Linked DNA regions of Nothobranchius furzeri. The protein of the gene in region 1 purifies or fractionates together with the protein of each later gene. This does not show direct contact. Links are inferred from orthologs where the notes say so. Each region holds a gene or a part of one and is shown in the gene's direction. Other genes may lie near its edges. The genes, in order: pdgfrb and rasa1a.

The links.
Region 2: the proteins of pdgfrb (region 1) and rasa1a purify together in Homo sapiens (co-immunoprecipitation; 5 studies listed by BioGRID and IntAct, with this or other methods). This does not show direct contact. The link is inferred for Nothobranchius furzeri from reciprocal best matches to the Homo sapiens genes PDGFRB and RASA1.

What each region holds. Positions count from the first base shown.
Region 1 is NC_091741.1:96,117,391-96,121,773, reverse strand, and holds the start of pdgfrb (platelet-derived growth factor receptor beta), read left to right. Parts: upstream 1-1,523; 5' UTR 1,524-1,718; intron 1,719-4,383. UniProt on the Homo sapiens protein: Tyrosine-protein kinase that acts as a cell-surface receptor for homodimeric PDGFB and PDGFD and for heterodimers formed by PDGFA and PDGFB, and plays an essential role in the regulation of embryonic development, cell proliferation, survival, differentiation, chemotaxis and migration.
Region 2 is NC_091757.1:43,329,884-43,333,697, reverse strand, and holds part of rasa1a (ras GTPase-activating protein 1), read left to right. Parts: intron 1-494; coding exon 495-652; intron 653-731; coding exon 732-808; intron 809-902; coding exon 903-1,075; intron 1,076-1,165; coding exon 1,166-1,325; intron 1,326-1,410; coding exon 1,411-1,553; intron 1,554-1,649; coding exon 1,650-1,765; intron 1,766-2,892; coding exon 2,893-2,979; intron 2,980-3,068; coding exon 3,069-3,136; intron 3,137-3,223; coding exon 3,224-3,312; intron 3,313-3,388; coding exon 3,389-3,466; intron 3,467-3,609; coding exon 3,610-3,744; intron 3,745-3,814. UniProt on the Homo sapiens protein: Inhibitory regulator of the Ras-cyclic AMP pathway. Stimulates the GTPase of normal but not oncogenic Ras p21; this stimulation may be further increased in the presence of NCK1.

The sequences.
Region 1 (4,383 bases):
CTTCCTTCTTCCCTTCCTCCCAGACAATGAAACTCTAAAGTTTTATCTGAAACCAAGAAGAAAAAACAAACCTACAGCAAGACATGAGCTGGTTCCTCTGGTGGAATTCTGTTTACAGCATCAAATCAGACCCGCAGTGAGAGGAACACTCCTAACCAGCTCAGATAGACTCTGCATTGTTGTGGCTGAATATTTGGGAGTCCGGTTTGTTAGGAGCTCTCCTCAGCACTGCTGCCAAACATAGAGCAGTAGAAACCCCTCTTTGTGGATTCTCCGTCACACTCCATGGTGACAACATGCTAAAGATGTACATGTTAATCAAATGCAAAAGTCTCCTAAGTGTCCACATCCTGTTTTGGTGTCTCTTTGTCTAACAGCAGGATGTTTCAGCGGATAATAACGTTTATTTCTTCTGCTGCATCTAACTGGTGGATTCAGACCAGATTAATCAGGACGTGTTGATAACGTTGGTAAAATTAGACGGGCATGGGGCGGGCCTATCCTGTGTGGTGTTGCTCCCCTCTTATTTAATAACCAGCACTGCACCAGCTCTCTAATTACTGCTAACGAGGCTTTCAGATTTATCCTCACAATTAGAGGAGAACATGTAACTGTCCAATTTAGGCTCTGTTCCCTCCTCCCCCCTCGCTCTGCCTGCTTGTTAGAGGAAGAAAAGGCCTTGATCAGCAGCGGGTTTGTCCCCTCCTGTCCTGGGAAACGATGGCATTAGGAAGAGAGCCAATATTCAGGAGAAGTTTTCTTCATACACAGCTTTGAACAAGAGAAGGAGACAGAAGAGGGAGGTGAGTTGTTGCATGTGGTGGAGATGAAAGAAGAAGGGAAATATGATAGAAAAGGAGGCTTCATACGGTAACTTTTACACCTCTGTGGGGTTACTCTCCTGAGAAACTGAGACTTCCATGTTTGTTTCCTGGGCACCGTGAGCTCTGCCAAACCTTTCATTTTATTTTTTTTTCTTTGCTGCCTGAACCTCCCACTCTCTTTCTTTTCATTGTGTTTGTTGTTTTTGTGGAAGGAATAGAAGCAGTCCAGATTGCTGTTGCCAGTAGAGACTGTCTCAGCTCACCTCCAGCGGCTCTCCTCTCCATTCATAAACAAATGGCTGCGGCCCGGGACCTCTGAGCTGCAGCCTACAAGAGCAACACGCAGAACCTGATCCGTGTTTTTGAAGTTCTGATCGTCTGCCTCTTCACTCATTTTCATGAGACCTGCTTGTGTTGCTTTTTGCTCCTCTGTTCTCTAACACCCCCTTCTCCTCCTCTCTTCTTCCATCCCTCCCCTCTCTCTCTCTCTCAGATTCAGCTAGGTCAAACCGCTGACTCTTTGCTCTGTGTGAGCCTGCCAGAGAAGGAGTGTGTGTCCGCATGCCTCTTTTAAACTTACACCACTCTTTCTGAGTGCCGGTAGGCTTGTTTTGTGAGTGTGAGAGAGACAGAGAGCTGAGGGAGAGAGAGAGAGAGAGACCCCCACAGCGCTGTGATTTGACTAAACAAACGGCCGGGCTCAGAGCGGTACCTCCTCCCAACGGACTCCTGGGACCAGCACAGATAAACCTCAGACTGAACATCTGAGAGAGTGGTACATATGATGCAGCAGAGCCTGTGGAGGCTGCAGCTGGAGACCTCCACTCAGATTTTTATCTTCTTTACCTTCTTGGAGAGGGAAGACTCGTCTGTGCCTGCAGGATCGTTGTGAAGGTATGGAGGTGTTAATCTTGAACTTGTTTCTGATGGTCACGGCTGTTTTGTCGCTGCTGCCAGAGGTGAGAATTTGTTTCACAATGTTGGAAAAGTTGATCCAGTTTGCACGCTGAGGCCAAACCCACAACCGTTCTGGGTTTAGTTAAAACTGGACCCTGAATTTCGTGAGTTTTATTTAAATTTAAACAAATCAGACAGGTTTTTTTACTCTCCATGTCCCCACGAGTGTGTGTGTGTGTGTGTGTCCGCTGGGTTCTTTGGTACCCGCATGTTTGAATGTGTACACACAAACAGCGAACAACCTGTTCAAACATCAACACAGCAGCGGCTCACATCCCTGACACCACTTCACACCCTACAGCTTCAACCGTGTTTGTCTTCTCGCTCAGAGATGTTTGACAGGTTGTCTCAGACAAACACACACACACATAGCTTGTTTGTATGCATGCCACTTTGCGCTTTGCTGCTAAAGAGCTCGTTTATGCCGACGCTCTTCAGTCACCCTACTTGAACCAAAGATCTTCCCTGTGAAAGGGCCTGTCAGGATCAATCTTCTCCAGAGGAGCATCAGCCCGGAGCCGTCACCTGCATCCTCTTTAGCCACAAATAGATTCCTTTATAGTGATAATAAGGCTAAAACGAGCCCAGCTCTTCTTTAGATCTTCTGGGAACCGGTGACTGGGTCAGTAAACATTGTGTTGAATCATCGTTCTTCCCTTCATGACAGAAACAAGATTTTACAGCCTGGACTGAGTTACGCTGGCGTCATGTGAGCCGTTTCATGGCTAAGATATGTGTTTGGTGAATGTCTTTTCCATCTAATCCGACACATGGTTTGCACCTGAAAGGCGGAGTAATGAGCAGCTGCGGTATCTGGACTGTTGGTCTGGTTTTATTGGGCATCCATCATCCAGATGCTGTTGCAGTTTCAGCAGATGAACGTCTGGAAAACTGCATTCATATCATCCTTCTACCATCAGCTTAGCGTCACGTTTAAAAGCACTGCTCCGCTCTGACACATTTTTAAACAAGGTTTTTCTTAACGTAACAGGGTTATATATCTTTCCTTGGCTGTGGGGGGTTTCCTGGCCGTGCGTCAGGCTGCTGGTATGCTCCTCGGCCCGGCCCTGATGTTGAGCAGCCCGGTCGGCTCCGTTCCCCCTGGCCCGGACCTAATCCTTACTCATCAGCTGTTTCCTGGCTTTTTGGGCTCGCTTGCATGCCAGCCACAGTGAGAAAATGTGCTTCGCATTAAGACCCAATACAGAACACGCCAGCACGTGCTCCACAGAGCCGACATGTCGCAGTTTGAGTTGTGAAACACGCTGATCCCAATCTGTCCTCCTGTGATTTATTCTCTGTCCCACGAGCCGAACGTGCAGCTGCTGAGCAACAAGATCACAACTGGTGTCATGCTGCTCGCTTTCTGGTTAAACACCAACTTTAGTCATCAGTTTACAGCAGATCATCGATGCACAGGTTGAAAAGTGTTTTATTCTCTGACTCATATCCTGCTGGTCAGTTATCATGTGACTCGTTCATCGTTCATGTTTTTCAGCTGAGTAGATAATAAATGTCCTTTAGTCGTTGGTCTTTAGGGTTGATTACACTATTCATGAGTCGATTAGCTGTAATGAAGAGCACTCAGAAGTGCAGGAGTAAAGCATGCCATACTGCACACACACACACACACACACACACACACACACACACACACACACACACACACACACACACTGGAGTAAAGCTGTCAGGCAGCTGCATCTCATCTTTAGGCAGGAAGTTGCAGCCAGTCCTGCTGCACAAATCTTTGAGGAAATGTCTGTTTTAGCGTCCCTTTTTCTCCTATTTAGGCATAAATGTATCTTTAGTGTTGGACTTTGAAAAGACAGATAAACATTTCATTTTTTACTCAGAGAGAAGGTTTAGAAAAGAACCAAGAGAATGTTTTTACTGAGCGTTATTTAAATGTGTTCTGTGTTGTGCTCATTATACTTTTAGACCAGCTCTGTTCTCCTCAGGCCCACAGTGCAGAACATCCACGATGCTTTCACAACACGTTGAAGCAGTTTGACAATAGAATAAGATTGAGTTATAATTTTATTATTTTGATGAGATTAAGCTGCTTTGTAATTCAGCCTACACTTATTAAACCCCACGGCTAATGTCTCACACATTTACCCGTGCTGTTCTTTGTTCTTTTCTAATTCCTTAAATGTAGAAAATGTGAGGTTACGGAATTATTTTCACTCATTTGATTCTAGTGATTGGACCGCCAAAGGCTCCACATTGCACTGGGCCTTTCATGTTCCTCCTGCAGGTGGTGGGTCCATGGGTGGATGTGGACAGCCCATGTGTCTGGGTCAGGCCATGGGCAAAAGGCCGGCGGCTGGGTGCTAGAACGCAGGCCGACCCAAAGGCCTGCTGCCATCAGATGAAGTGTGAGACAGAGTGCCGTAGGAGGTGCCAGGTCCAGGGCTGGACCCCGTGTGCCAGCAGCACCAAGCCCGTTACATCCAACACCCCTCACCTGCAGGAGGAACAGGAAGACCTAACCCATATCCTAGCCTTAACCAATGGCGTTGTATTCCTAACCCTAACCTAAACTAAATCTTTATTCACTCCATACCTCCAAAACCAAGTTTTAGGATGCTTAGCACTG
Region 2 (3,814 bases), on another chromosome or scaffold:
GTTAAAAGGTATTGGGAACATTTTGACTAGTGATGGACTTTTGGGGACAGTGTCGTTTTAAATTTCCAGTGTTACAACAGGTCTTGTTCTTCTATTGAAATCTGACATTCAGGACCATTTCCACAGATTGACTCAAACAAACAGCCCAGTCCTAATTTAGTTCCTTGGTTTGGGTGGCATTGAGGATTAATTTGGCTCCTCTGCACTATCCAGGCCTCCCATTGATGATCCCTGCTATAGTAGTGTCATCTGCAAATGTGATGATCTAGTAAGGGCATCGAGGACATCATAAATCTAGAGGGTAAAAAGTAGGAAGCCAAGCTCGTAGATAACTGACACTCTTTAAGTTTCAGAGCTTTCTTTGTCAGCTAAGTCAAAAATGCATGTATCCTGAGGCAGATAGAGATTGATCCAGATTTGTCAGGTGTCGGGAGCAAAACAGCGAAGTTGTAATTATGGCGAATAACATTCATTTTGTGTGCGTTTCCTCTCAGGTGAGCAGTCTGGTGCTGTATGTGGAGGAGGCCCACAAGCTGCCTATGAAGTATTTCACCAACCCCTACTGTAACATCTTCCTGAACAGCATCCAGGTTGCTAAAACACACCCGAGAGAAGGGCAGAATCCTGTCTTCACTGAAGAGTTCATCTTTGAGTGAGTCGGTGCTCGTTCGTCTCCTTTCGTTTCACGATTGTGTTAGCAAAATTCCAACATGCCTTTTTTGTGTTTTCAGTGACCTGTCCAGTGAAATTAACCGATTTGAAATCAGTCTGAGCAACAAATCAAAAAAGAGCAAAGAAAATGATATTTGTAAGTGATCATAAATTAGAGAAAGTAATAACCTTCAACTCTACAGTCCCATTTTGATCTTTTCCTTGTTGTCCTCCTCTTTGTCTCCTCTCAGTGTTTATGCGGTGCCAGCTAAACAGTTTGAATAAGGGTCAGATGAATGATGAGTGGTACTCTTTGAGCTCCCACGTTCCTCTGAAGGGCATCGAGCCCGGCACCTTGCGTATACGCTCCCGATACTCCATGGAGAAGATCATGCCTGAAGAAGAGTACAGTGAATTCAAGGAGGTCAGGCCTGCTGAGAAGTGGTTCTGATTGCAACTTTTTGGCTGCAAGCATGGCTGTTGAATCAAAACGGTCTCTTTATGTCCTCTACAGATGATTTTGCAGAAAGATTTCCATGTAATCTATGCTTTGGCCCACGTGTGTGGTCAGGACAGGACGTTACTGGCGAGCCTCCTCCTGCGCATCTTTAGACATGAGAAGGCTGAAGCATCCTTATTAATGAGACTCAACGACAGAGAAATCAGCATGGAGGGTGAGACGCAGACGGCGTGATTTGATGTGAGGTCATTTTAAAACAGCTTAACTTGAGTTTGACTTGGTAACGCGCATCCTCCCAGATGAAGCCACAACACTGTTCAGAGCTACCACGCTGGCCAGCACGCTCATGGAGCAGTACATGAAGGCCACCGCCACTCCCTTTGTCCATCACGCACTCAAAGACACCATCCTGAAGATTATGGAAAGCAAACAGTCGTGCGAGGTAAATGAATAAACCTGCATGTAGCCTTCATTCAGCACATAGAAATAATTATCTGTCCAAATGTCCTCTTTCATGTGTCCCTCCCTTCCTTTGCAGTTGAACCCTTCCAAACTGGAGAAGAACGAGGACGTGAACATGAACTTGACCCATCTTCTAAACATTTTGTCTGAGCTAGTGGAGAAGATCTTCATGGCTGCTGAAATCTTACCATCGTAAGCTCCTAACACCTAAAGAGCAAGTCACCCTCAAATCAACTTTTATTTTTTCTGATAAACTATATAAATCCGTATCTGATTGTGCTGCAGACTCGTGTAGTCAATAGTTTTGCACTTTAGTGCATTTTAGTACACATTTCAATTTTCTGCCTAAAACTGTCAGTGTTTTGTCGTTGTCCGGTAAAAACTCTGCACTGCATTTGATATAAAATCTGCCATCGCTATTGGCTAAGGCCTAGTCCACACGTAGCCGGGGTTTTTTAAAAACGAATATCCGCCCCTCCAAAAACTTGCATCCACACCACCGCGTTTTAAAAACAAACTCTGTCCACACGTACCCGGATAAATACGTTGTTAAGGACATGCCAGACCTGTAGGCGGCAGTACTTCCCCCGTTCTTAACCTCGTCCTTCGTCTGTGGTCTTCCGCAAGGAGCAGTAATTCCGCTTGTAAAAACAAACAAGCAGAAAGCGCTTGGACAATTGATGGATCGGGTAGTGACAGAGCGCAGGTTTGAGGGCTTCCATGATGTCGGCTAGTGTAAACACAGGTTGCACACGTGATGTCAGCATTTTTTTGTCGCGGAAAGTGACGTTGCGGACCTTAACACTCCGGTTTTGTCTGTCCACACGCAGACACCCAAAACGGAGAAAACGCAGATCTTCACTTTGGCCGGAGTTTTTAAAAAGATCCGTTTTCGTGTGAAAAAACTCCGTTTTCGTGTGGATGACAGGCCAAAACGTAGAAAAATATCTGCGTTTTGGCAGATCCCCGGCTACGTGTGGACAGGGCCTAAGAGGTACCTTAGAATGTTAGCTGGTACCATATGATGTCACAATGTCATTGTGAGCATGTGTGTGTGTTTGTTAGTGGCTCCGCCCCTTTGGTCTGCTAGGCAACAGCATTTGTTGCATTTTTCAAACAGGAAATGGGAGTGGAGTAATACCCTGGTAGGGGGTGACTTGCTCTTTAAAAAATGGTTTTACTGCTTCATCATTAGACCCAAAGAGTTCGGCTGATTTTGTGTGTGTGTGTGTGTGTGTGTGTGTGTGTGTGTGTGTGTGTGTGTGTGTGTGTGTGTGTGTGTGTGTGTGTGTGTGTGTGTGTGTGTGTGTGTCACACAGGACATTGAGGTATATCTACGGGTGCCTGCAGATGTCTGTCAAAAGGAAGTGGCCCAATAACACCACCATGAGGACGAGAGTTGTAAGGTAAACCAGCGTCTCTAAACAATCTGAATACTTTGATGGGTAAAGGCTGTTTTTGCTGACTAACTTCCACCTCATCTGTATTTTTCTAGTGGTTTTGTCTTTTTAAGACTGATCTGCCCTGCCATCCTCAACCCCCGAATGTTCAACATCATAGCTGGTAAGTGTGTGCTAAAAAAACATCCCGAATATGTTTTTACTGCAATATGGAAATCAGTTTTTATGGACTCTTGCTCCTCCCCTCCAGACCCTCCATCTTCAACAGCAGGTAGGACCCTCACACTGGTGGCCAAGTCTGTCCAGAACCTGGCCAACCTGGTTGAGTTTGGTGCTAAGGTATGAGCTCATCCCATTTAAACTTTCACAAAATGCAAAAGTATTTAGCTAATTACTGATTTATTTTTATTGACAGGAGCCCTACATGGAGGGTGTGAACCCTTTCATAAAAAATAACAAACATCGGATGATCATGTTCTTGGATGAGTTAGGGGTGAGTTTCATTTCTTACTTTTTGGATCAAACCTTTAAGCTGAATATCTGATTTGTTTAAAACTTTAATGGTTGGTATAGTATCTTTGAGAGACTGAGGCCCTCTCTTCACAAGCAGACAATAAAAAACTGTCACGTTTGTAGAATGTCCCAGAGCTGCCGGACACCATAGAGAGCTTTAGGGCCGACCTGCCGCGGGACCTGGCCGCGCTGCACGAGATCTGTGTCGCACACTCAGCTGAACTTCGCATCCTGAGCAATGAGAGGGGCGCACAGCAGGTCAGAGACTGACGATCACAGCTCCAAGAGTTCAAAGCTTGCTCTAGAAGTCATCGTACTCTTGTTTTTT